Drosophila melanogaster: one gene and its partners. The gene in region 1 interacts genetically with each later gene. Each region holds a gene or a part of one and is shown in the gene's direction. Other genes may lie near its edges.

Evidence for each region.
Region 2: of shtd (region 1) and lmgA, changing one suppresses a phenotype caused by changing the other (phenotypic suppression), as found in Drosophila melanogaster (one study listed by BioGRID).
Region 3: of shtd (region 1) and ida, changing one suppresses a phenotype caused by changing the other (phenotypic suppression), as found in Drosophila melanogaster (one study listed by BioGRID).
Region 4: of shtd (region 1) and CycA, changing one suppresses a phenotype caused by changing the other (phenotypic suppression), as found in Drosophila melanogaster (one study listed by BioGRID).

The regions. Positions count from the first base shown.
Region 1 is NC_004354.4:15,456,419-15,464,054, reverse strand, and holds the start of shtd (shattered), read left to right. Parts: upstream 1-1,613; 5' UTR 1,614-1,719; coding exon 1,720-2,767; intron 2,768-2,827; coding exon 2,828-2,951; intron 2,952-3,009; coding exon 3,010-3,171; intron 3,172-3,229; coding exon 3,230-4,448; intron 4,449-4,507; coding exon 4,508-6,552; intron 6,553-6,611; coding exon 6,612-7,046; intron 7,047-7,110; coding exon 7,111-7,636. Other genes in the region: CG6294 (uncharacterized protein), read right to left, coding at 1-1,227.
Region 2 is NT_033779.5:8,524,499-8,530,156, reverse strand, and holds lmgA (lemming A), read left to right. Parts: upstream 1-1,651; 5' UTR 1,652-1,847; coding exon 1,848-2,105; 3' UTR 2,106-2,197; coding exon of another isoform or gene 2,198-3,295; 3' UTR 3,296-5,158; downstream 5,159-5,658. Other genes in the region: lmgB (lemming B), read left to right, coding at 2,198-3,295; Acer (Angiotensin-converting enzyme-related), read right to left, coding at 5,377-5,414, 5,473-5,658.
Region 3 is NT_037436.4:3,903,764-3,908,313, forward strand, and holds ida (imaginal discs arrested), read left to right. Parts: upstream 1-1,580; 5' UTR 1,581-1,593; coding exon 1,594-1,776; intron 1,777-1,838; coding exon 1,839-3,989; 3' UTR 3,990-4,050; downstream 4,051-4,550. Other genes in the region: Sc2, read left to right, coding at 1-148, 306-522, 743-858, 921-1,125; mge (maggie), read right to left, coding at 4,460-4,550.
Region 4 is NT_037436.4:11,827,539-11,835,449, reverse strand, and holds the start of CycA (cyclin A), read left to right. Parts: upstream 1-1,871; 5' UTR 1,872-2,381; coding exon 2,382-2,576; intron 2,577-3,203; coding exon 3,204-3,397; intron 3,398-3,467; coding exon 3,468-3,723; intron 3,724-4,605; exon of another isoform or gene 4,606-4,813; coding exon of another isoform or gene 4,814-5,833; intron 5,834-5,889; coding exon of another isoform or gene 5,890-6,015; exon of another isoform or gene 6,016-6,201; intron 6,202-6,260; exon of another isoform or gene 6,261-6,420; intron 6,421-6,765; coding exon 6,766-6,989; intron 6,990-7,057; coding exon 7,058-7,262; intron 7,263-7,332; coding exon 7,333-7,580; intron 7,581-7,644; coding exon 7,645-7,798; 3' UTR 7,799-7,911. Other genes in the region: CG43064 (uncharacterized protein), read left to right, coding at 1-203; CG7264 (uncharacterized protein), read right to left, coding at 4,814-5,833, 5,890-6,015. UniProt on the Drosophila melanogaster protein: Essential for the control of the cell cycle at the G2/M (mitosis) transition. Interacts with the Cdk1 and Cdk2 protein kinases to form MPF. G2/M cyclins accumulate steadily during G2 and are abruptly destroyed at mitosis.

The DNA.
Region 1 (7,636 bases):
GTTGTGGTAGTTGTCCAGCAGTTGGCTGCTTGGCTGCAATTTCAGTTTGGTGAGGCGGGCGCGGTTGCCCGTTGCGGCGCCACTGCCGGCGGACGAGGAGGAGGAGGAGGTGGAGCTGGATGAGGATGATCCGCCCTCGGATGAATTAGTATTGGCAAGTGAGCCCCTGCGGGCGTCCACAATTCGCTGCGGCAAATGCTCCGTGGGCTGGTCCACGGTCAACACGCGATTCAAGTAGTCGAAGCCCTGGCCCATCACACCCTCGCTGGTGTGGCCCAGATCGAAGCAGTGGCCCAGTTCGTGGCACACGGCGCCCAAGGTGCTGGCATAGACGCCGCCGTACGTCCGCCGATAGTTGCTCTCGTCCGGCAGGCGGGCGATGTCCACCCGCTGGGCGCTGCGCACACAGTCGCCGATCTCCGCGAAGCTCGTGGGCCACGCGTAGAAGTGGGCACTACCAAAGAGCGCCAAGCCGCCGCCACCGAGTGCTGCGTGTCCCTTGAGATGCCGCCGGATGTTGGCGTACGAGGAGTCACCGCTGGCCACCACTGCGTCGCCGTCGTAGCGCGTGCAGCCCACAAAGGCGACGAACTTGAGGAGCAACTGGTGGCCCCACTGCGGACAGGCGATAATCTCGCCGGCGAAATGCTGCCACAGCTCGTCCTCGCTCTTCGCCAGCGCCTGTTTCCGGGTCAACTGGCTGCGGAAGGCGCAGCACTTGCCGTTGAGCGTGAAGGTGCGGTTGGGAAAGCCCGCCGCGTGCAGTTTGTGCGCGTAGATGGACTGCACCAGCCGCAAATTAAGATCGATGAGGGAGTGCACCTCGTGCTGCTGCGCCAGCGTCTTCTCCTCGTCCTGACAGAGCAGGTAGAGCGGCTGCACCCGGTAGGAGCTGCGGCGGGGCCGGTAACTGAAGCTAATCGTTCGGGTGGCCGTGCAGGATCGCAACTCCAGGAGGCAGGCGCTCTCCTCCTCCTCCTCCTCGCGATTCGCTTGTTCCAAGTCGAATAGGAGCTTAAACTCGCCGCCGGCCGACAGCTGGGTGAGCTGCTCCTGGGACAGGTGCTCGGGCAGATCGAGGATCGCCTTCAGTTGACGCGCCGTGGAACACTTGGGCACCAGGCGTCCCTTGACCAACAGCAGGCTGTGCTCCAGGCGCTCCGACGTCAGCGGCTGCTCAACCTCGATGCTGTGCGCGCGCTTGCAGCCGGCGGTGCCGCTGCTCATTGCCAAATTCTGGCCAGGATTTCCGGTTCCGTTTGTCTGCTCAAATCAAAATCCAGACTCCGAAATCCAATTGGAAAAGCCGAACAAACGCACTGTGCTGCCAGACCGGGAAAATAACCGGTACGCCAGCGGACCAAAGCTGGTTGCTACAAGTGACCAACCGGCATTGTAATCGATAGTAAAAGCAATCGAACTGTTATATTTTATATTTTTAAAAATAGGCAAAGCCATTTCTCTAGCATTTCTTTCGGTATGACTTTATGGCATATACTGGTAATTGTTTTGTTTGTCGCGATTCTGGTCTTCCTATCGTTATCGGCCTTTTGATAGCTCTCCTCATATCGAAGTACTGCAGGCCCGATAGAATCAGGCACTTATCGCCACCCGATTTCGATGACAGTTTTTAAATAATTGTGCAAATTCCTTGCTAATAATAAATTGTAATCAATTAACTTGTCAATCGCAATTCTGGATGCACCTGGCGACGCGGACATGATCGCCGTCGCAGAACCGCCGCTGGAGTTTGTGCCGCGCGGCCGTCAGACGTCCGCGGAGCATCCGGGCCCACATGACCAGCCAATGGCGCGCCACCAACTGCCCACCACGGAGCATCTGCTGCTGCAGCGCCTCCAGAATGTGAACATCTCGTCGGCCGGTGAGGACTGCCCTTCGGGCGGACAGGAGTCGTGGACAGTCCGAGAGCTGTACGATGACTACGAGGCATCCGAGGAGCGCGCCGCCCTGCGACGCAAGTTGACCGAGCGGACAAAGCGATGTGGTCTCCAGGCCACCTCGCTGCCGAACAGACTGCTCAATCCACCGCTGGTGCGGCGCGTGGAGCCAATGTGCGACTATATGGTTAACAACGAGGAGGAGCTCTATGTGAACCGGAACACGGTGGTGTGGACACAAGGCGTCAACGATGACGACGATACCGACAATGGGGTGTACCGGCGCATGTGTTTCACCACCGATACGCCGGTGCGCTTCGCCTGCTTCCTGAATCGCAGTTTTGTGCGCGGGCGACTGGCGCAGCTGAAGGCGGCTGTCCACCCGGATGACGACCATTTGACCGCCATCTGTGTGATGGATCAGGACGCCCTGCGGGTGTACTGCAGCAACGGCGAGGACTTTCTAGCCAATCTGGACTTTCCCGTGTCACAGCTGTGGCAAACCAAGTATGGCCTGCTGCTGGAAAAGGACTCCAGCAATGCCTTGATATCGCACATGTCCATTCCGATGCCGCGTCTCTTCTCTATGTCGCATCCGCTGCACGAGGCCTGTCCCGTCGTCCTGAAGACGGCCACCGGCTCCACCGGCTACATGACCGAACCGGAATACACTGTGGTCTTCACCACCGAGGAATCGGATTTGGTGATGCTGTACGATGCCAAGTTCTTTAAGCATTTCGTTGCACGCCTGCGTAAGGTAACGCCCGAAGAGATCAACTATGTGAGTCAGCAGATGGAGCTGGGACAGACGCTAATGGGACCCAGGTCGATGGCAGGCAATAGTTTCAGTTCCACCAAGCAAACTGGAGGTGAGTTGATAGCAATGCCAGCAAGGGCATACGATTTATTCACTGTCTATCCATTGCTAGCCACGCCAAAAGCAACGAACTTATCGTTTGCGGCCAGGAATATCAACACCACCACCACCGGCATGGGCAACCAGTTCGGACTCAGCCAGTCGCAGTCGTTCAGCGGAGTTCTTGGACAGTCGAAGTACGTTTAAGTCGCTGTCATCCATCACTTACTTATTATTGCCTCTTCTTCCGTTTAGTCGCGCCTCCCTAGGCACTCCATTGAGCCAACTGCAGAGCAGTATTAGCCAGCAGTCCATGTCCGTGAAGGATATGCGCAAGTTAACGCACGTGAAGCCGGCAAAACCCATTGAGCCGGAATTGTGTATGGAGCACATCTGGACGGAGAACATCTACGGAACGTCAGTAAATGCCACCAAAGATGCCACTTTCAGTACTAAAATTGTCTGTCTTCCTTAGTCAACGAGAGTTCTGCGAGATGGCCACCCGAGCATTTATCCACACGGATTTAGTGGGTCAGACCTTTTTGTGCTACCTGCTGGCCCGCTCGTGCCGCCTTCAGTTGGTCCGCCTCACTGGCTATGGAAGGGGCGAGGTGCAGCTCTCCACGCACGCCTCCACGCTGGCCGCGAAAGATGCAGTGGGTCTGAAGAGAATGCACATGATTGCCGTTCTCGATCCGAGTGGCAGCTTACTTCTATACACAGGCACCGTGCTCATATCCAAGGTGCACATTACGCCGTTTTTGGCGCCTACCTCCATTCCCACACCGCTGGTAACGCCCATGACTGCTGCCCCATCTCCGTCGGCTTCGCCCGCTCCGTCTCACGTTAAAACACCAATGGCAGCTGCTGGACCAGCAAGCGGCATTCCGTCCGGCAGCAGTTCTTTCGTGGAGGTGCGAAGGAGCAGCCTACTGCCCACAAAAGCGCCGGGGGATGTGGCTGCCTTCGAAGAGGAGCTGCACATGCTGTCGCCCATCCAACCGCAGCCGGTGTCCTACACACAGCGGCAGGCGCACAATGTCTGCAAATCCCTGAGAGATCCGGCGGGAAATCGATTGACTTTGGTTTATGCCACGGGCAGAATGCTCAGAATAGCGCTGCCATTTCTAAATGATACACGATTGCTCACCAGATGTGTGGCTACGCTACGGCAGGTTCTAAGTCCGACCCAGTTCCTGGACTTTGTTATCCGTTGGTATAGCGACAGGAATCCGCCGGGATCGAGGAATTACTCCATAGAGCAGGAATGGCTGCTATTCCGCTCCACACTGCTCGCCCTAATGGGTCTGACTGCTGCACCGGATGTGGATGCGGGCGAGAACTACGCTAGATGTGCCACGCCACCGCTGCACACTCAATTTGGAGGCGGCGCTACTGCGACGGAATCGAGTGACGGTTCTAGTTGCAGTTCCAATTCTACACTGGGTGGCCAGGATGAGCCGAAGAAACGGCGAATATACAATGATTGCGATGATTTCACGGACGACGACTGGGAGTTCCTGCTGCTCCAGACGACACTGGCTCCCTGCGGAGCCGATGGCCACAGCTACAGCGTGAACATCGGTGCGCTGCTCTTCCGAATGATTCCCGCCATCTTCTTCAGCCTGCATTTACTGTACGAGGATCTCAAACTGGACGCTGACTTTTATGGAGCGCTTCCATATCTGGCAACGGTAGGTGAATCATTTAATAGATCCATTAGTGGTTTTCTAACACCATCTCCTCGTTCCAGTTCCTACACCAGCTGGCCATCGATATGCAGCTGGAAAGTTATGTGCTGCACTACATACTAGACTTTCCGGAACTCTCGAATCGTACGGGCAAGCTCTCGTTGCTGGGAGCTGAGCACGGAGCTATGATGCTGCACCAGGAGCTTCTGAGGGTTCCGGCACCCAGTGTGTTTGCCCAACTCGAGCACATTATTGTCGGCGAGGAGGAGGTGATGCCTTACACCTTCTTGGAGTGCGTTAACGAGAGAAGTCGCATTTTACTGCAGCTCGTATCGCTGGTGACTCATGGGCATGAGCGTCTGAATTACTGGTGGCAGCTGCTTGAGATCCCCGGCGCCGTTCAGGCCAACTTTACGCGGCGCTCTAAGCGTAATATCACGGCGGATGCTCCGCGTAGCCATCAGATGTTACAGCTACTTCTGGCCATGCGCTTGACACGGCGAGACATTGAAAGATTCCCGGCGGCAGTGCATCTGATTGTAGCGGAGGCACTGGAGGAGGCTCGCCTCTCGCCGCCCATGGGCTGCAGCATGGCCACCTATGAACTTATCCTGCGTCCAGAATTGGCGGCCCACGCTCAACTGCCGTTCCTCGAAACGAGCACTGGGCAACCGCATTGTGGCCGGGTCTACAAGGAAGATTCACTGTCAGCGAGGTGTCCGCCGACCGGGGGATCAGAAACTGATTCACCGGCCCAATTGCGCCGCGACGACATGGACAACATGGACACAAAACTACTGCGTCTGCGTTTTCCCGATGACATGCGGGTGGATGAAGTGCGCCGTCTGCTTAACAGCTCGGAACCGGTGGTCATTGAAGTGCAACAGGCACCGGGAACCAGCGATCACGAATTCATTGAGGAGCAGGAGAAGCAACTGTTTGCACTATGTTCGCGCACAATGACACTGCCCGTGGGCAGAGGTATGTTCACCCTGAGAACGATGTTGCCGCGGCCCAGCGAAAGCTTGACCATGCCCAAATTGTGCCTGTTGGGCAAGGAGCCGCTGAAGGGCACCACCATCGAAATGCAGCAGATCGAATTCCCAGCGAATATGCAAATGTGGCCATCGTTTCACAATGGCGTGGCCACTGGCCTGAAGATCTCACCCCAGGCTCAGGACATAGACTCCAATTGGATTGTCTACAACAAGCCCAAAACGCATTCGCATAATGCCCTGGAGCACGCTGGTTTCCTCATGGCCCTGGGCTTGAATGGTCACCTAAAGACGCTGTCCTTCATGAGTGTCTATAAGTATTTGGTTAAATGCGATGAGATGACCAACGTTGGTCTGCTGCTGGGCATTTCCGCTGCCCATCGCGGCACCATGGATACGAAAACCACAAAGTTGTTGAGCGTTCACTTGGAGGCACTGCTGCCAGCCACCGCCATGGAGTTGGATATACCGCAAAGCACACAGGTGGCTGCTATAATGGGCGTCGGTTTGCTCTATCAAGGATCAGCTAAGCGCCACATAGCCGAGGTGCTGCTCCAGGAGATTGGCCGTCCTCCAGGCCCTGAGATGGAGAACAGCATTGAGCGCGAATCGTATGCCATGACAGCAGGTCTATCCCTCGGATTGGTTACCCTCGGTCAGGGTGAATCGCCGGCGGGCCTAAGGGACCTCCAACTGCCGGATACCCTGCACTACTACATGGTCGGTGGAGTGAAGAGACCCATCGGCGGTTCCCAGAAGGAGAAATACCGACTAGCCTCGTTCCAAGTTCGTGAAGGCGATACCGTCAACATAGATGTCACTGCTCCGGGTGCAACGCTCGCATTGGGACTTATGTTCTTCAACTCGGGGAACGCAGCTATTGCCGAATGGATGCAGCCGCCGGATTCGCGGTATCTACTGGACATGGTGCGGCCTGACTTCCTTCTGCTGCGCACAATTTCCCGGGGCCTCATCCTATGGCAGGATGTCCGGCCGGACAACGCGTGGTTCCAGGCACAGTTTCCGCGAGCACTCCGAGCTCACCTAAAACTCCCGTTCTACGAAAATGAGTATGCACCCGAGGACTATGACGTGGACTACGAGGCCATCTCGTGAGTAACTGAAGTTGAATGTCAAAGTAATTAGATACGAATTATATACTCTTGTCCAGGCAAGCCTATTGCAATATCATGGCTGGAGCTGCCTTCTGCATTGGTCTCAAGTACGCCGGCACTGAGAATCTGGTGGCCTTTGCCACGCTGCGGTCGGTGATAAAGGATTTCCTTCGCTTCCCCAGCAGGCCGATGGGCGAATGTGCCGGTCGCACCACTGTGGAGAGCTGCCTGATGGTGCTGCTCATCTCGATCTCGTTGGTGTTCGCCGGCTCCGGCAACTGCGAAATTCTTCGCATAATTCGGTTTCTCAGGTCGCGAGTGGGACCACAATATCCGCACATAACCTACGGCTCTCACATGGCCATACACATGTCGCTTGGCCTGCTATTCCTCGGCGCGGGTCGCTTCACCATTTCCCAGACACCGGAGTCGATTGCTGCACTGGTCTGCGCCTTCTTCCCCAAGTTTCCCATACACAGCAACGACAATCGGTAAGGATTAATATATTTGCAGCAATGTGTTAGCACACTTCACCGCATGGATTTACATTTTAAGATACCATCTGCAAGCGCTGAGACATCTCTATGTACTGGCTGTGGAACCGCGCCTGTTCCTTCCCCGGGACATTGACACCAATAAGCTGTGCCTGGCCAACATATCCGTGTTGGAGGTGGGTGCCACCGAGCTGCGCCGCCTGCCCATCGCTCCCTGCATCCTGCCAGTGCTGAGCACCCTGCAGCAGGTGGTGGTGGACGACGAGAACTATTGGCCAGTGTGCTTCGAGCGATCGCGCAACTGGGATCAGCTGGAAAAGGCGCTGGAGATGAGTGCACCGATTGATATTAAGAAGCGAACGGGCTGCCTTTCCCACTTGGAGGACCCGGACAGGCTGAAGAGCATGCTGGCCCAAACATTGACGATGGAACAGAGCATCTGTTGGCAGATCGATATGAACGACCTGCAGCAGTTTGCCAGCGAACGTATGGTGAAGCAGTTCCTCAGTCGCTGCCTGGACACCAAAGGCACGGATTTGAGTCCCCCGGAGCTGATGAAGCGGCACCAGGTGATGCTGCTATTCTAC
Region 2 (5,658 bases), on another chromosome or scaffold:
AGCCATAATTCGATGAGTCATAACCAAATTCACAGCTTCAAAGTGTTGTCTGGTTGCAAATTGTTTATTTGGACTCGTATCTAAGGCGCTAAAGAGTTTAAAAAATCCGTCATTTCATAATTGTTTGTTTATTAGCCACATTTTATGGACGAGGCACATGACAAGGCAAGCCAATTCAAAGTGAAATAAATCGCAAATATCGATTTGAAATTTCGCATTGCAATTGCAATGAAAACTGATGTTCACAAACAAACACATCATGTTTTTTATGGATGCCTTATTGGTACACTGTATGTAAGTGATTCGCAGAATTCGAGAAAATCCCGGGCGTGACCAAAAACCGGAACACCAAGTCAAGTAGCAGAATCTCCCTGCAAGGCGCAAACGGTTTTTTCCAGAAACAGGCGGCACAAAGAGTTCAATAAACTGCAACATAAATTCTTATGCTAAATAATTGCTATCATCGAGTGGTTTTTTTTTTTGTATAGGTGGGTTGTGAGGGGTGTTTACTTGTTCTTGGAAAATCACGAGGCTCTGGCTCAGGGTCAACAACGTGTTGTATGGCGCATTATTGGGCTTATTTTTAATATTATTCTTGCCTGTATGGGTGTGTGTATTCAAGTGCGTTTTCAATTACAGGTTCTTAAACAACGCTCTGCTGTTGAACTTCACTTTTTGTGTTTTGATTTAATTTCACTCTCACAAGATCGTTCACTTCGCAGCGGCACCTTTCGATTAGTACACAACTCTAAATCAACTCCGTTTCGCAGGCACTTTCTTTTCACTCACAAGGGTTTTTTTTATTATATGCTGATCTCGTTCGCAGTTCCACAGAACCTTTGCTAAAAACTGCGTCACACTTGGACAAAACACAAAAGCAATTTTTGAGCAATAATGATCACGCTTTGCACGCGAAATTGTCGAAAAAACACAGTGGGAAAAACGGGTAAAGCTCGACGATCGATCGATCGAGCTGCGCGCACGTCTGTCGGGTTCAACAATCGTCGGCTAACTGAATGCGAATAAACCGGAGACAACAACTCCATCAGCCCCCGACAACAAAACAACACAAGGCAGCACCCCCCTAAAGCCTCGTCCAATCCGATGGAGCATGAGCATAAGCTTTCGGAAGTTGTTTCAGACACGATTCGCTCGCATTGCTGATTAAAGATCTGACCTGGGTTCCGACCTGTCATTGCCGAAAATTGTAATTGATGGCCCAGCGGCTTCGAGAACGTGGCCTTGATATTGAAAATACTACTGTTCAACTATTACTTATCCGACAAGGAATGACTTATTTTAACTATAGCAGAAAGGTTTTTAATTCACCTGATTGTTTCAAATAGTACTTTATCTATGATTTCTTATAAACAAACCAAAGTTGAATACTCCCGCCAAGGATCGATATCTTTTTAAAGTACGGTAGATGTATATATAAAATCGATAGCTCTATGAACTGCTTACAAATGCCCATGTCTATGATCAATAAATATCACTAAGAACACATCAAATGTACTTTGTTACAATATTCAATAATCAATACTATACTAATATACAATAAATAAAAATATATCGTTTACTATAACAGGTCATCCCAAGTCGCACTGCTTGTCCGACGGCTTAACTCCATCTACACAGCGTCCATCTCTAAGTCCAATCGGCCAATCGATAATCGGACCTATCGACCTATTTTCAGCAGCCTAACTAAAGAAAAAAGGCAATATTTTGCAAAAAACATTCGGAAACGGTCGAAAAACACCCGCTTCATTGGCCAAAGGAGCCGTATTCCGTGCAACGCAAAGCGGCGACAAACCAGACAATTGCCGTGTGAGACAAATGTGCGCAAAATGAAAGTGACAATCAAGTCATGGACGGGAGTTGCAACTTGGCGTTGGATAGCGAATGACGAGAACTGCGGTATCTGTCGCATGTCCTTCGAGAGCACCTGCCCGGAGTGCGCTCTGCCCGGTGACGACTGCCCGCTGGTGTGGGGTGTATGCTCTCATTGCTTCCACATGCACTGCATCGTCAAGTGGCTGAACCTGCAACCGTTGAACAAACAGTGCCCCATGTGCCGCCAGAGCTGGAAGTTCAACGTGCATTAAGAAGCCCGCGTTATAGTTCTAGTTACTAAATACCCGTGAGGATCAGGATCAGCAGTAAGAAGAAACCGTAGAGACATAGTAAGCTTTATCAAATGATGGAGAACAGCAGCAACGATGCCCAGCCGCACTTGACGGGTCTGCCGCCACTGCCAAAAAGTCTGAGCGCCGCTACGGCGGCTCCTGTGGCCATTGGCCCCCATCCCCGCACAGCCTCGCCGGCGTCCAGTGTTAACGCACTGACCGTAGCCGCCGGAGAACTATACCTGGGCCCCTCCACCTCCTCGTCGGCGGCATCACGAAATCGTAGCTACAATGGACACGGACACAGCCAGCGGCACGGTAGTCTTTCGTCCACGCAGGAGTCGCTCAGTGATCGGGAATCTGTGCACAGTCGCGCTTCCAGCACCCACAGCGCTGGGGCTGTTCACACACCCACTAACAGCTCGAGCAGCACTGGAGCCACCTCGTCGACCATCGACAACCAGTTGGCCATTCTGCGACGGGAGATGTACGGTCTGAGGCAGTTGGATCTGTCGCTGCTGTCCCAGCTGTGGGCGCTAAACGAGTCGATACAGGGATTCCGTGTGTTCCTGCAAGAGCAGGACGCACTGTCGCCGCCCTCGAGGTCCCGTACTCCATCGGATGCGAATTCCTTGAGCTCCGACGAAGAGGACGATGGCTCCTATGCGCCAGTAGCCTTGCCTAAGATGACAGATACTGCCGGAGCTGGGAGTGCGGGAGTTGTGAATTCCAGGGCCATGGCCTCGCCGGCAGCCAGCGGAGGACTGCCCACAAAACTGGCCACTGGCTCGACCACTTCCCACGCCTCAACTAGCTCCACATCAGGAGCCTCTGGCTCCTCATCCGCTGCCTCCTCGATGGGGAAGCACCAACAAGTGCAGCAGCAACAACAGCAACAGTCGCAATCGGCTAACCACTACCATCAGAGGCCAGCGCCACCACCCGCACCACCAGCTCAGCACAAGGCGCATCCACAGTTGCCGCGCATCCTGCAGCAGCGCATGAGACAGGCACCGCCACCGCCGCCACCCACAAGGCAAAAGGCGGGCGGCGGTGGTGGAGGCGGAGCGAGCACCAGCAGCAGTAACCACAGCATCAGCAGTGTCACCCAGCCGCATCCACATTCACACCAACATCCCCAACATACCCACCATTCGCGACCTGTATGACAAAACCCGTTCTTGGACTAAGCCAAGTTCAAGAACATAAGCAGATTTACATAGCAGCCGCTGCCAACACTTCGGAAAGGGTCAATTAGACGACATTTCTTCAAGAGTCAATTCAAATTCAAGTGCAGAAAGATCCCACACACACAACACTCACTCTATCAACTCAACTATCAACTCATAAAGCTTGCCATGGTCCCTCGTTCTTGATATTGAATCTCGAAACATATGAACGGTTTATAAATGTTTTTTGCAAAACGATGAAAATGTCTTTGAATGTAAGCGTACCACTTTTCACGTTTAATATTAAATAATAAACACAAAAAATTTGTATTCAATAATAATCGCTAAGTAGTAAAGGATAAGATCCTTATATGCATCTATGTATTACTCAAATTGTATAAACATAAATCTAAAATGCTTGAAATTCCGCATCGAATTCATAGATCTAGTTATATTATTTGCGTTGACTCTGAAATGTTTTGTTAGAATGCATACTATCCAACAACAAAAACTAAATCAAATTGTTCCAACTCATGTAGCACTAACCAAAACTAAACTCTTGGCCTATACATATGAATATCTGGATTGATTTTATAGCCCTGTTAAGACTTAGTTTCGTAATGGCGTATCGATTGGAAAATTATATATTACGAACATGTATCTGCATCTCAAAAGCAAAATCTAGCTGATCTTACTGTTAGTCCAATAATCCTATCATTAAAAATACAACAACAAAAAAAACTAGGCATATATATGTAAAGCTCAAGTATTGGAGCAAATCCCCCGAGCAGTTGTGCAGTGCGTTTCAGATCTATAAGTCAGTTGCATGTTCCGCGAAGCAGAAAACCATTTTAAACTAGTTTCGGTTGTATATTTTTCCAATTTGTTCAAAAATCTTACTCCGCAATCATGGATAACTGCCTTGTAAATGTGGAACGCATTGCATATAATATTTATATTCTAAATACATATACAATTTTTACCAAGTAACAGTTACATTGATGAAAATGCAGTAGATACCATCGGTATCTCCCATATCACAAGCATAAAGCGGGAGATTGCGAAATGAAAACAGATTTACATATATTACCTAATCAAAAATGATACAATTTCCAATATTTATTGTTAGTTCTTAGATTGTTTTATTTCTCAAAACAAATTCCTTATAATCTACTAAAATTAAATCACCCTATGAAGTTAAACGATTGGAATTAAAATCCACACGATCATATTTGACTGTTCTTTATTTCGTTATCATATACACACTCCTCCAACAGAGACTACAAATCAAAATGTGCGGAAATTTGATACCAACCAGATCACAAAAGCATCGATATACAAGCAGAAATCATAAATATACTGCAGCACAAGTCGCAAAATGTAATCACTGATCAAGCTTTGAATATCTCGGCTGGAATATGACCTATAAGGATTTAATGTAAGGTTAACCAGTTAACAAATACATTTTCTTGAAAGCAATAGCTTATCATTTTCGATGGTCAGAAAATTTTAGAAGTCATGACTTGATTTCCGTTTTAGCAAGACCTTTAGAACTGTTTGGTAACCTATAATTTTTTATAGTGTATTGTATTCTATACTTTTTGTGTTGTATACAACAACAGCTTCCATTAAAGATCATATTTTATTCGAGTTATTCAAAGTAGCATACGGTTAGAAGCATCAAATAAATTTGAGATGAACTTTTGAGCGCTTTTGCTGTGTACAAAAAGGCAAGCAAGATATCGAAAATTTACACTGACCGAAACATATACAACTTTGTGGTTGAGATAGAAACACAATTCACGAAAGGCTATAATTTATACAATTTTGTTTATGACGAAAGTTGGTGGGTGAGATATCGTTAAAAAGTGTATTATGTAATGGCAATTTATTAATAAAACGAAACGAAACGATACGAATGAATCGATACAATAAATATCAATTTAAATATCAATGCGCATATGCTGTGAATTAATTATCGTTCTTATCAAGTTTATTTTGTTTGTTCCTAATGACAGACTAAACCAATATATTTGTTTTCGGGTTCTAATAACCTCAAGTCAAGTTTGGGATGGCTCAGTCTAGGTGCTAAACGTTCCACAGCAATCAGATGGGATTTCTGCAAAGGGATACAGTAAATTATAGTTAGCAGTTACTGTTTAAATTCAATTACTCACTGTCTGTTGGTCCCCAGCCCAATGGCACACCCAAGCGGCTATTTTCCTGCTTAAGCCACTGGTAGAGCGGTTCAAAGTACTCCAGCAGAGCGGCTGGGTCCATTTCCGTTTCGCCTGTAAACTCCTCCAACACCTCCTTCCAATGGCGTGAGTTGCCCTTTGAGAGGAACTGGCTCAGTGATCGTC
Region 3 (4,550 bases), on another chromosome or scaffold:
ATGTGAAGGATCTGGGTCCCCAGATTGGCTGGAAGACCGTTTTCCTGGCCGAGTACGCCGGCCCACTGATTGTATACTTGATTTTCTACTTCCGACCGGAGTTGGTGTACGGCAAAGCTGCCAGTCTGCCGATTTCCCTAACCACCCAGTGAGTTTGTAGAAAGTAGTCTCTGAAGTCTTTCGATTGTCGACCTAATCGACCTCGTCGCTTATGCAAACTAAAACGCAACGGCTCTGCATAATTATCCCCGAACTTTGGATGGTGGTTCACCCAGTAACCCGCTTTCTTTTCTCTTTTGCCCCAGCATTGCCGCCGGCTGCTATACGGTCCACTATGTGAAGCGTCTGCTGGAGACGATTTTCGTGCACCGCTTCTCGCACGCCACCATGCCGCTGAGGAATCTCTTCAAGAACTGCACATACTACTGGGGATTCACCGCCTATGTGTCCTACCACGTGAACCATCCGCAGTTCACCTCGCCCTGCATGTGCACCGTTTGGGGAGCTCTTGGGGCATTCGCTGTATGTATCCGCGGCCATGGTTTATGGATCTGGGTTATATGTTTTCGTAATCTACCGGTTTCCTTTGCTTTTGTTCGAAACATTTGTTTCTTAATACCAAAGGTGTAGCTTTTTGTTAAAATTGGTCAAGCAATTTGTAATGTTATATGTGCTATATATTTGGGATCCATTAATCATATTTGCAGACCCACAAACTAAGCCGCACACTTTTCACTTTCAGCTCTGCGAACTAGGAAACTTTTCGGTGCACATTGCCCTGCGCAACCTGCGTCCGCCGGGAACAAAAGTGCGCAAGATTCCGGTGGCCGATGGAAATCCCCTCACCAAGCTGTTCGAGTAAGTGGTCACTAAAAAAACCCACAGCTCAAGTTTATTAATTCGCGCTCTTCGAACTGCAGCTTGGTTTCTTGCCCCAACTACACCTATGAGATCGGTGCCTGGGTTTCATTCTCTGTGCTGACTTCTTGCCTGGCTGCCTATCTGTTCGCCTTTGCCGGAGCCTTCCAGATGACCATTTGGGCCTTGGCCAAGCATCGCAACTACAAGAAGGAGTTTAAGGACTACCCTCGCCAGCGCCGCTCCATCTTCCCCTTCGTCCTGTAGGTTGGATGTGGGTATCCCCATGACGCATTCGCTGTATTACCTATTCCACATTATACATTTACACATTTGGCTAGCGTTTAACAGGGTAGTTGTCTAGTGAACTTTGTGCTTTCGTTGATTTAAAGCAAATACAAATTGGAGAAGCGTACATTTGGCGTGTTTTCGTCGCTTTTTGGACTTTGATCGATCGTATGGGAAGTTCGACGAAGCGCGTGTAATCAGTAATAGTTTATTTGGGGCTTTCAAAGGTGTGCCAGGTGCTTACCTTGCTAAAAATAAGTGGCCACCTTGGGTCATTTATTTTTAACACTTTTATTTCAGAATGAAACACCTTTTTTATAGCTTTAGTAAACCAATAATGCATTTTTATTGAACAAACATTTTGAAACAACGCGCCATCTGGAGCTGCCACACTGCTGAACTCCGTACCGTTTGGCATCTCCAGCGAAGCTAAGTTGGCTGCGGCTGATGATTTTGTGTTTACATTTTGCCGGCAAATCGAAAATTGGATTTAGAGGCCCTAAATTAACCATGAATCTGTTCGAGGAGCTGGACACCTTGGACCCCTCCTTCAAACTAGAGCCTCCCCGCATCGAGACGCCCACGGCGCACAAGATTACCGTGTTGATATTGCTCAAACAGTATGTGATTGTAGGTGCACCCACTTATTTACTCCGTGAAAACCAACTTCTAACATTTATCAATTTTTAAAGAACAAAAAAAACTGTTTGGATACTGGGATATCCATGCGCACCCAGCGACGGCGCATGTTCTATATGCTGGTATTCAAGCTCATTCAGGAGCAGGACAAGAGTTACAATGAGCTACATAGTTTGTTGACCACGGGGAAATACAAACTGGATACTCTGATGCTGGAATCCTTCGAAAAAGCCATGTCCGAGTTTTGTGCGGGCAGCATTGAGGCTTTGTTTGACTTCTCGGAGATCCAGAACATCGACGAGATCCTAAACGAAAACTACGGCATTAGCCAGTTCAGCATGGTGGGCGTTTATGTGCGCAGAGTGGGCGTGGTGCTAGAGCGCCTCAGTTTCCCTGAGATGATGGATATGTACAAGAACGTATGCTCCTATTACGAGAGAGGAGTTCGAGCTGCTGCCTCTGGTTCAAGAATGGCCGTAGCCGGAGGTATTCTGCATAGGGAGGAGACCCCTCCTCCGAATCCCATAACAGAAAAGCCTGAGGATCCTAAACCTAAGAAGAAAGTGGAGGCCGTAGCTCGTATTGCCCAAGAACGTAATCCCCTGAGCAAATGGGCACCAAAACAGGCCAAGTTTTTCATCAACAAACAGTCGGAACTGTTGGAGAATAACGAGCGTAAGGCTTTGCCTCCTTTGGAACTCCAGAAGAAGGTGCAGGAGATCATACACGACCTCCCACTAACAACTACACCCTATTTCCTGGGCTATATGAATCAATTGAGAGTTAGGGATTACTACAATGCTCTTTCTGCCCTCCACAGAGCATTGGACAGGAGTCCCGTGCGCCTGATGAGCCAGGAGAAGGGCTACCAGTATTTTTGCGTCAATCTGGCGGTACTACATGCCACCTTTGGTCATCGGGATGAAGCGCTAGCAGCGCTCAGGGAAAGCATTATGCTGGCCCAGGAGCACGGCGACAAAAGGAGCCTCAACCTTGCCAACACTTGGTACTGCTTGCTCAGGGATGAGCTTCCCTTGTCCGCTGTTCAAAAGAGTGTGCAGGATGCCAACGAAGTGGATGGTTCCCTGCTGCAGAACTACACCTTAGCCCTACACTTCGCTGTAAAACTAGGAACGGTGGCTGGCTACCAACCACTAAGACTCTTTGATCTCCTGCAGCACAGCGACAATCTCACTAATCGCAACAACTTCGCCGACCACGCATCAGAGGCCCTTGCCTTGAGGAGTGCTGTTTGGTCTGCTTATGGAAGGCATGAGCTAGCTGCTTTGTACTCCCAAGTCCTATTGACAGGCAGAGACAGGTTCGGCAGTGGATCTGCGGGTTTGGGAAGCGCTTTGGCCAGTTTCGCCCTGTGGCTTCAGTTGCAAGGAGAGCCACAACTATCCAAAGTACTCCTACATCATGCTAAACAGCGCTTTCCGCGTTTGCCCAGCGCCGAGGGTTGGATGATAAGCCAGTGTCATGTGGTCATTCAGGCGGGAATCTACCAGTGTCGCTGGCACGATGCTCTGAAGGCTTGCGATCAGCTATATTTGATCGATCCCTCTGACTCCTTATTCCAACGTGCCTCCATATATGTGGCCAAGCGCGAGTTTTTCAATGCCAGGCGCCTCCTGGACAAGTTGGCCGTGCAGGATAACATACCATTCCTCCTTAGGATGAGGGTTCAAGTGTTGCTTGGTTATTGTGGCATGGCGAACGGTCGATTTTCAAGTGAAACAACAATGCTTCTGCTCCGTGTGTCCGAGGAAATGTCCGAGGCCCAGATGGATTATGAGTTAGCTCTGGTGGATCTGCTCTTGGCCCTGCAACTATTGCTACTCGGTATGCCGCAGAAGGCCTATCAGGCAATAAAGCGCTGCATGCACGACATTCACATCAACGGCGGTCTATATGAACGAGCAAAAACGGATTTCGTGTTCGTTCGCTGCCTGTTGGCCGTCAATCAGAATGATGCGGAGAAACGGAAAGCGCAGCTGCTTAAATCGCAAGTAATCCTCCAGCGTGCAGCTCAATCATTCAAGAAACTCTCCGCACATGCGAAGGTTTTGGATGTGTACGTGTTCTTGGCACAGCGATTTAACGAATTTGGCGATCGGAATTTAAGGAATAAGTACGCTGGAGAGTTCCGACGCTACTTTACGGATCACCCCATTCCAAGGGAATATCTGGGTAGTCCTTAGTTTCCGTCTGTTGTTAAATTCTAAATAAACTTGTTCTTACAACCTAAGGAATCTCAATCTTACCTAAAGTTTTTCAATTCACAAGCACACAGCTGAATTATTTTGACTATTAATAAACGTAGTTTTATTAATTGGTTTAAACCGCAGTGGTTGCTTGTTTATACACTGTACGCCAACTGCAATGCTAACACCTATCTGAAGTTTTGCAACGGCTCGTTTCGATTGATGAGGACGTCCTTTTTTTGGGGGCCGGATGTTCATAGAGTGTGGATGCGTAAATGCTGCGCTGTGAAGTGGCATTTAATGGGTGGCTGCTTTATTGGGGGGAATCGCTGGACGTCCTGCACCGCTCGATTTCGACTGGGATTGATTGGTATCGACAAACTTAAGCTAACGTGTGGCAATTTCCGGATTTCCGATGCCGGTTATCGTAGAGCTAATATGCGTATGTGGTAGGGGGTCTCTCATGGTTAACGAATCAAGGGTAAGCTGGGCGACGGCCCTCCAGGACCCATCGCACTGCCGGGTCCAAGAAGCACCTGCTTCTGCTGCGACTTGTGC
Region 4 (7,911 bases), on another chromosome or scaffold:
TTGCCAGGGAAATCACCTTTGAATTTGTGTTAAAAGCTTTAAGTTTGTACAGTCACAGAAAAATTAAAATCTATTTGCACGAATCATCTGTTGATTGGAGCCTTAATCTTCCGGTTCCGAAGGGCAAGAGGAACATTCAGTTCATTAACGGCTATTTAAAGAGTCCCATATTGATGAACAAAGATACTAATGAATTAGATTAATTACAAACGAACAGCATTTTTTGTTAGTTAATAAAAAAACGTTTGACTTTCGCCAAATATTGCCTTACTATATTGGTAATTATTATTTGACCCTGTAAGGTATTTTATGTATATTTCCAGAGCTGCTGGGGCCAACGATATTATACAATTGTGTAACTGCTAGTCGGTTGTCCTGCTACCTGGTCTCCAGGACATCGAGATCGCAAAGGTCAGCATTTGTGTGCAGGATCAGAATGTTGGTTAGCTCATTGTGTTCGTACTTCTTTGGGTTCCTAACTGATTTAGTTTTTAGGCCGGCAGTTGCGAAATGTCTCGTGCAAAACAATGCAAAATCCGATACACCTTTTCTTTATTTTCTTAGGGAGGCGCAGCTGCTCTAGAAAACATACTCTTCCGTTCACAAAATAATCGTGGCAAGAGTCATACATACATACATGTATGTACAATGCTGAATTAAGTCAAAAACAATACATATTTAATAGTTATGACAAATATTTAAGCCACCACGTTATGTTGTTATATTCTTAAACTTAAAAGGGTTAAGAAATCAGGATACATATTTTTTAAGAAGATTAGAAATCAAAACAATTACCATAACTGTTAACAAATTCACCTATTATTTATTATAATGAATGTTATATTTGTATTTTCTATAAATATCTCACAGCCCCTCCCATTAGAAATTCATAGGGAAGACGTATGGCGTATTTCGTTATATCTTTCTAATCGTGAAAGTCATCCGAATTGATAAATATATATACTTTTGTATTTACACTAACATATTTTTTATAAATGGGTAGCATCGTTAGGCGTATTGAAAAGAAAAAGTTTCGCTTAACTTTTTTTGGGTTTTCCACTGACAGCCAAATAATAATAATCGCAGTAGCCGAAATAAAGCTCTTTAAAAAGTTAATTAGAGAGTTGCTGCTCTTAAATTTAACGCGGTGGTTGTTGTTAATTGTGTACTTTCTGTTGCATGCAGTTCATAATTTGTTCAAAACTTCGAGCGGCCACTTTGTTTGAAAGGACTTTCGAAAAGGGGAAAAGTTTTTTTTCCTGTTTCGATTTATTTCTGGGACAGAAACGATTTTTGGAGCCACTCGAGACCGAAAGTCCAAAAGCCTAGCCATTTTTTTTAATTGTAACCTAAACATTTTTCCAAGTGTCCTAATACGTCGATTATTTAAACATTTCATCAAAAACATTACGCTTTCTATTTAATTATATTTTGATAAACAGTTGTTTAATTGATTTTTGTCAAGTTCGCTTTGCAGTGAATTCTTAATCTTAATCAAAGCAACAGTAATAACAACTTAAGCGATTACCGTGGACATAATATATGGATTATATATATGGATATAATACATATATATTCGATTAACTTCAAAACAATGCTTACAAACCCATGAAGAACTTATTCCAAACCCTTTTTATAAACCTTTAATATGTATTATTGGTTTGATCTCTAAAGCTTAGAACTAAATAAATATGCACTCATTTTTAAAAACTATGCAAAAACAATGGACTTCGGCAAAAATAAAAATTAACGTTATACACATTTTTAAATTTTGCGCACTGCTGGAGTTGCCAGTCCTAAAAAACAAACTTCTGACATATATGGCCACACTGTCGGCAAATGTCGATAGACGCCACGACCTATCGATAGCTGGACAGTGTCATCTCTAACATTTACGACGTGTTGACCGGGAAAAAATCAAAAGAAGCCAGCAATTGCTTTTAAACCACGAACCGCTGAACAAGTACGGAGTTTGTAAAATACTTAATATTAGCTAAGTCCGTGCGAGCGTAGCCAAACAAGGAAACTAATTCCAACGCTGCCGTGACACAAACTTCCGTACGAAATTGAAAGTCAAATGAATTCTGTACAAAACTGTGTGTGTGCGTGTAATTCAAGCGTCAATTTGTCGATGATAAAATTTGCCTGCGCCTAATGTACACATGTCTGCGTCTTCGTTGAGCATATGAGCCTGTGAATGTGTGCGTATCGGTGTGAGCGTCGAGCATAAGAAAGCAGCACAAAACAACAACAACGGCAGCAGCAGTAACAACAACAGCAAGAAGGCAACGACGCTAAGAGAAAGAGAGAAGGAAGGGAAGAGCAGAGCATAATCGGACTCCATTTTACAAGGCGAAAAAAGGAGTAGGAAAGAGCGCACCATGGCCAGTTTCCAGATCCACCAAGACATGAGCAACAAGGAGAATCCGGGCATTAAGATTCCGGCCGGAGTGAAGAACACCAAGCAGCCGCTGGCCGTAATTGGGGGAAAAGCGGAGAAAAATGCGCTTGCGCCGCGGGCCAATTTCGCCGTGCTCAATGGCAACAACAATGTGCCGCGTCCGGCCGGGAAAGTTGTAAGTACCGTTGCCGATTTCCCGTACATCCAGTGCCTAATTCCAATGCAGCTGCCTTTTTATATTTTTATGGTGGTGGGATCGTCACACCACTGCGACCGTGCGCATGTGTGAGATCTCCTAGTGGTGGTGGTGGTTTTCTCTCCCTTACCTCTCCCCTACCATCCCATCCTTTTCACTTCTCCATCTTACGTTACTCTCTTCTTAGAACGACCAATGCACTTACTTGCGCCTAACCTAGAACCTTAACTAACCTAGAAAAAGACACAGGCCTTGCAATTACGCGCCTTTTTGATGATTTGCAACAACAAAGCGAAGCAAGGAGGGCAAAAGCAATTGCGACATGCAACGCACACATGCGTATAGGTGCACACATACACACACACACGAGCAATACGGGAAGCCAGGGAAAGGCGCGCAACTTAAAGTTGGATCGATTTATGGGGGGGGATAATCATTTTATTTCTTTTTTGCTTACTATATTAAGGATGCATATGTAAAAGGAATTATCTTTGTGTTTTTACTTTTATAATCCCACTGCAATATTACCTAATATAAAATTATTACCTAATATAGTAAGTTGACCATATTGTTGAATTTGTCTTCTTCGTCTTCTGTTCCTTCCAGCAGGTCTTCCGTGACGTCAGAAATCTTAATGTTGATGAGAATGTGGAGTACGGCGCCAAGAAATCGAATGTGGTGCCCGTGGTGGAGCAATTCAAGACCTTCTCCGTGTATGAGGACAACAACGATACCCAGGTTGCGCCATCCGGCAAATCCCTGGCCTCCCTAGTCGACAAAGAGAACCATGACGTGAAATTGTAAGTTTCCATCTGTCACTTGGTAAGCCGCAAACAAACTTTTGTTTGTTTTTTTTTTCACTCCATTCAGCGGTGCTGGGCAGAAGGAGCTGGTAGACTACGATCTGGATTCAACACCCATGTCCGTGACGGATGTTCAGTCCCCCATGTCCGTGGACCGCTCCATTCTCGGTGTCATACAGTCCAGTGATATCAGCGTGGGCACTGAAACGGGAGTCTCGCCAACTGGAAGAGTCAAGGAGCTTCCGCCGCGCAACGATCGCCAGCGGTTCCTGGAAGTGGTTCAGTACCAGATGGACATTCTGGAATATTTCCGGGAGAGCGAGGTAAGCTAAACCAGGGACATAAACATAGGCTTCAATATGATATTATTAGATGACTTCCTCACAAAAATATTTCAAACTCACAAACTCGCTTTCATCGCGTAATCATTGTCAAAGACAATGATATTTTTTAACTAGTAACTGAAGTGGACAACTTTTATCAGGTCGAGTTTTCCTTGATTATCTTCCAGGGTATTGCAGTCATGTTTTCTGGCATAAATTTGGAATTTTTTCCCAAGGTATCTTGCGTTTTCAATGTGTTACTACTTACTTGGCCATGTGCATTGTACTTTTCTGTGCAGACGCAGGCAGACGTAATTTCTTAGGGGAAGTCGGACCCTGTCGCACCCTCCGTTGGCATTCCCTTCACGCAACGCTGCCTCTTTATGGGTTCATGGGTACACTTATTCCCGCTCGCGGGCACATGTTTGTTGGGCGGGAAGCGAAACGCTTGTCTGTCTGCGTCCGTCTCATCCTTTGTCGTTGTTGTTGACTCTCTTTTTCTCATTCGTCCAAAGTCGTAGAACACTCGGGGTACCAATGGAATTCGACTTGCAGAGGGAGGTTGACTACTATTGTAGTTTGTTTCCTACGTTAGTAAATAAAAGATTAAAAATTAAAATAAGTTTAAAAACTAAAAAAAAAATTAAAACCAAAAAAGTTTTAAAATTGATAAAGAATTTAAAAAACTAGAAAACCAAAACAAATAAAAAAAATTTAAAAATATTTTAAAATCGATAGTTAAATTACAAAACTCGAAAACAACATTAAATAATACAAAACAACAACACAAGGATTAGGTTTTGTCCAGAATGGGCGTATTCTTTATTTTCCCTTGATATTTCAGTTTTTACTAGAGATGGGTTTTTGTCTTTTTTTTTTTTTAAATTTTTAAATATTTGAAATGCTTTGTTTCCAACATGAACATTATAATTTCGTCGTGAAGATTCCCAACAAAGATTGTATTTTTAAAATAGTACAATGTTCTGGACGCCTATGGAAAGTTGCTGCACAAGAAAGTGAGGCAGCTTTCTAATCGCATCCAGCTCATTATTCTCGAATCGTCTTGGTTGGGAACTTCAATACAATCCCACTAACGTGAGTTCTTGTTGAACTGATCGTAAAAGTCATCGGAGACGGCATTGGTTAGGCCCACAAGGGCTTCCTTGCGCTGGCGATCCTGCTCCACGGCCAACTTGGAATTCGCCCGCATCAGCTCATCGAATTCCGCCTTACGTCGGCGATCATCCTCGATTTGGTGAAGGACCAGGGTGCGGTCCATATTAATGGAGTATTGCTCCCACTGTTTGTCCATCATCTGGGCCTCCGTCTTGCGCTGAATAGACAAACGAAGCTGCTGATCTTGTCCAAGACGAAACACGCGAAGTTCTTCGGGCGTCATGCCGCGATACATGAAGGCAATCTTCTTGTTCGGATCGGTGCGCGATTGAGCCACATCCGGATTTTCAGTTAGCATATCGCTGGAGAGCATGTTATAGATCTCGGCCATGTCATCCTCGTACTTTTCACGCTTTTCCCTTTCGCGGTCCAATTGCTTCTGCTTGGCCATGTTGATATTGAACTGACGCACTCGCTGGATGACTTGGTTGCGCATCTGGTGATCAGACTTGGCCATCTCCTGCAGATGCTTGTCTCTGCAACCAACGTTGTCCATCAACACATTATCGGCCTGCTTGCGAGCATCCTCCGCCCTCTTACGCTCCTGCACTTGCTGATCCAGCCAGGCTCTTTGCTGCTCCCGCTGCCGCTGCTTTCTGTCAGAGTTATAGAGGTCCTCGCCTTGAAAGATCTGGGCACTGGACACGCCCAGCGAAATGTCATTGTCGGCGACTCTTGTTGGACGTGCCTTCTTCAAGAAATTCGGATCATTTAGGTCGAATTCGCGGCGCTGCTCCTTGCGCTGATAGCGGCAGCGATAATAGTTAAGATCCGAGTCCACCACACGCTGTTTTTTCTCCAACTCCATTTCCTGGGCCAGGATCAGACGCTTCTGCAGCTGCTCCTGTTCTTCAAATTTCTTGTCGCACTCCATCTGGGCGGTTCGCTGCTTCTTTTTCTCAAGTATTTGGCGATCCAGCATTTCTAGGTCGAGCTGTGAATAGGAATATTCGGCAATGAAGCTCACCCAGTCTGCAGATGCATACTTACCCCGTAAAGACGCTGTTTGGCATTAAAAATGCGCCGCTTCCGCTCATCTTCGTACTGCTCCCGCTTCTGCAGCTTCATCGCCTCGTCGAGATCCTGCTTGGTGCATATACCGATTTTGAGCGTCATTGTGCCGGAGTTAGTTATAAAAGATGTTCAACTGTATTCGAGGTCGATATGTCTGTCTCTTCTTGTTAGTAGGATGTGGATATATGCCTGAGTTGACTTTGTTTGCCCGGTTGCTGGGTGCTTTGTTTATTGTTTGCCTCTACTACTACCTCTGTAACCTACTAGTTACAGACTATTTACATATATCTATAATAATTTCATGGGAGTTAACTGCCTTAATATAAAACAAATGCTGATGTATGTACATATATTCATGTCAATCGAATTCTTTAATTTTTGCAGCTCGAGTCGCTTGACGGTTCCAATAATCGTTAAAGCGACCATAAAATAATCACCTAATGTACATATTGCCCATATATATGTACATATATGTAGGTGTTTGGCAAAGAAATTTAAGTTCGAACTGGGAATTTCGATGCGACTCACGTACTACGAAATAACCAATAAATAAATAAAAATCGGTTAACTCCCTCCCCCAGCTGTTGTTTGCCACTTCTCCTATGGTATTTATACGCTTGATTTGATGACTGTACGGCTTTTTCTCCCGTGAAATTTGTACATTTTTGACACCTTCTTAAGATGAAACTGGGAACGGGTAGTTGGTTGCCAGATTAGAGTGTAGAAAAGGCATAAGCTATATATATGCGAATCCTAACCTAAAGTATTAAAAGTTTGGCTTAGTAATTTTTGTTAGGCCGGGTAATCTAATCGGTTTCTAATCATTTGTTTGCATGTGTTTGCATCTTCCAGAAGAAACATCGCCCCAAGCCACTCTATATGCGCAGACAGAAGGACATTAGCCACAATATGCGCTCCATCCTTATTGATTGGCTGGTTGAGGTTTCCGAGGAGTACAAACTGGACACGGAGACGCTCTATCTCTCGGTCTTTTATCTAGATCGATTTTTGAGCCAAATGGCGGTGGTGCGCTCCAAGTTACAGCTGGTGGGCACGGCAGCTATGTATATTGCCGCGTAAGTATTCTTGATAGTCCGGTAATAATGGTGTGTGTATTCATGGGGTTTATTTTTTTATTTTTCAGAAAATACGAGGAAATCTATCCCCCAGAGGTCGGTGAGTTTGTCTTCCTCACCGACGACAGTTACACCAAGGCGCAGGTGCTACGCATGGAGCAGGTTATCTTGAAGATTCTCTCCTTCGATCTGTGCACACCGACTGCTTACGTCTTCATCAACACCTATGCTGTACTTTGCGACATGCCTGAGAAGCTGAAGTACATGACGCTGGTAAGCTATTGCCAATACAAAAGAAAAAAGAAACAAAGCCGAAACTTAACTTAATGTTTACCTGACACAGTATATTTCCGAGTTGTCGCTCATGGAGGGAGAAACGTACTTGCAATATTTGCCATCACTTATGTCATCCGCTTCAGTCGCACTGGCGCGTCACATTTTGGGCATGGAGATGTGGACGCCAAGGCTGGAGGAGATCACGACTTACAAGCTGGAGGACCTAAAAACGGTTGTGTTGCATCTGTGTCACACCCACAAAACGGCAAAGGAGCTCAACACGCAGGCCATGCGGGAAAAGTACAATAGAGACACGTAAGTCGCAAACACTAGATAGCCGAAGAATGAGCCCGTGTTGACCAAATGTATTTCTTAACAGTTACAAGAAGGTGGCTATGATGGAATCCGTTGAGATGAGCAAGGACGACTTCGATCAGCTCTGTGAGGCTTACAATTGCAAGCAGAAAGAGGATGAGCACCAGCAGCCGGATATTAATACTAAATCGAACGTGAATTTGTTTTATAAGTTTTAAGTGTTTTGAGCCGCTGTCATGGCCAAATTGTATATTAGTTTAGTGTTTCCATGTAACATTATGTAGTTTTAGTTATAAGTGTACACAATGGATCAATTGCAGTTCGGTCGCAG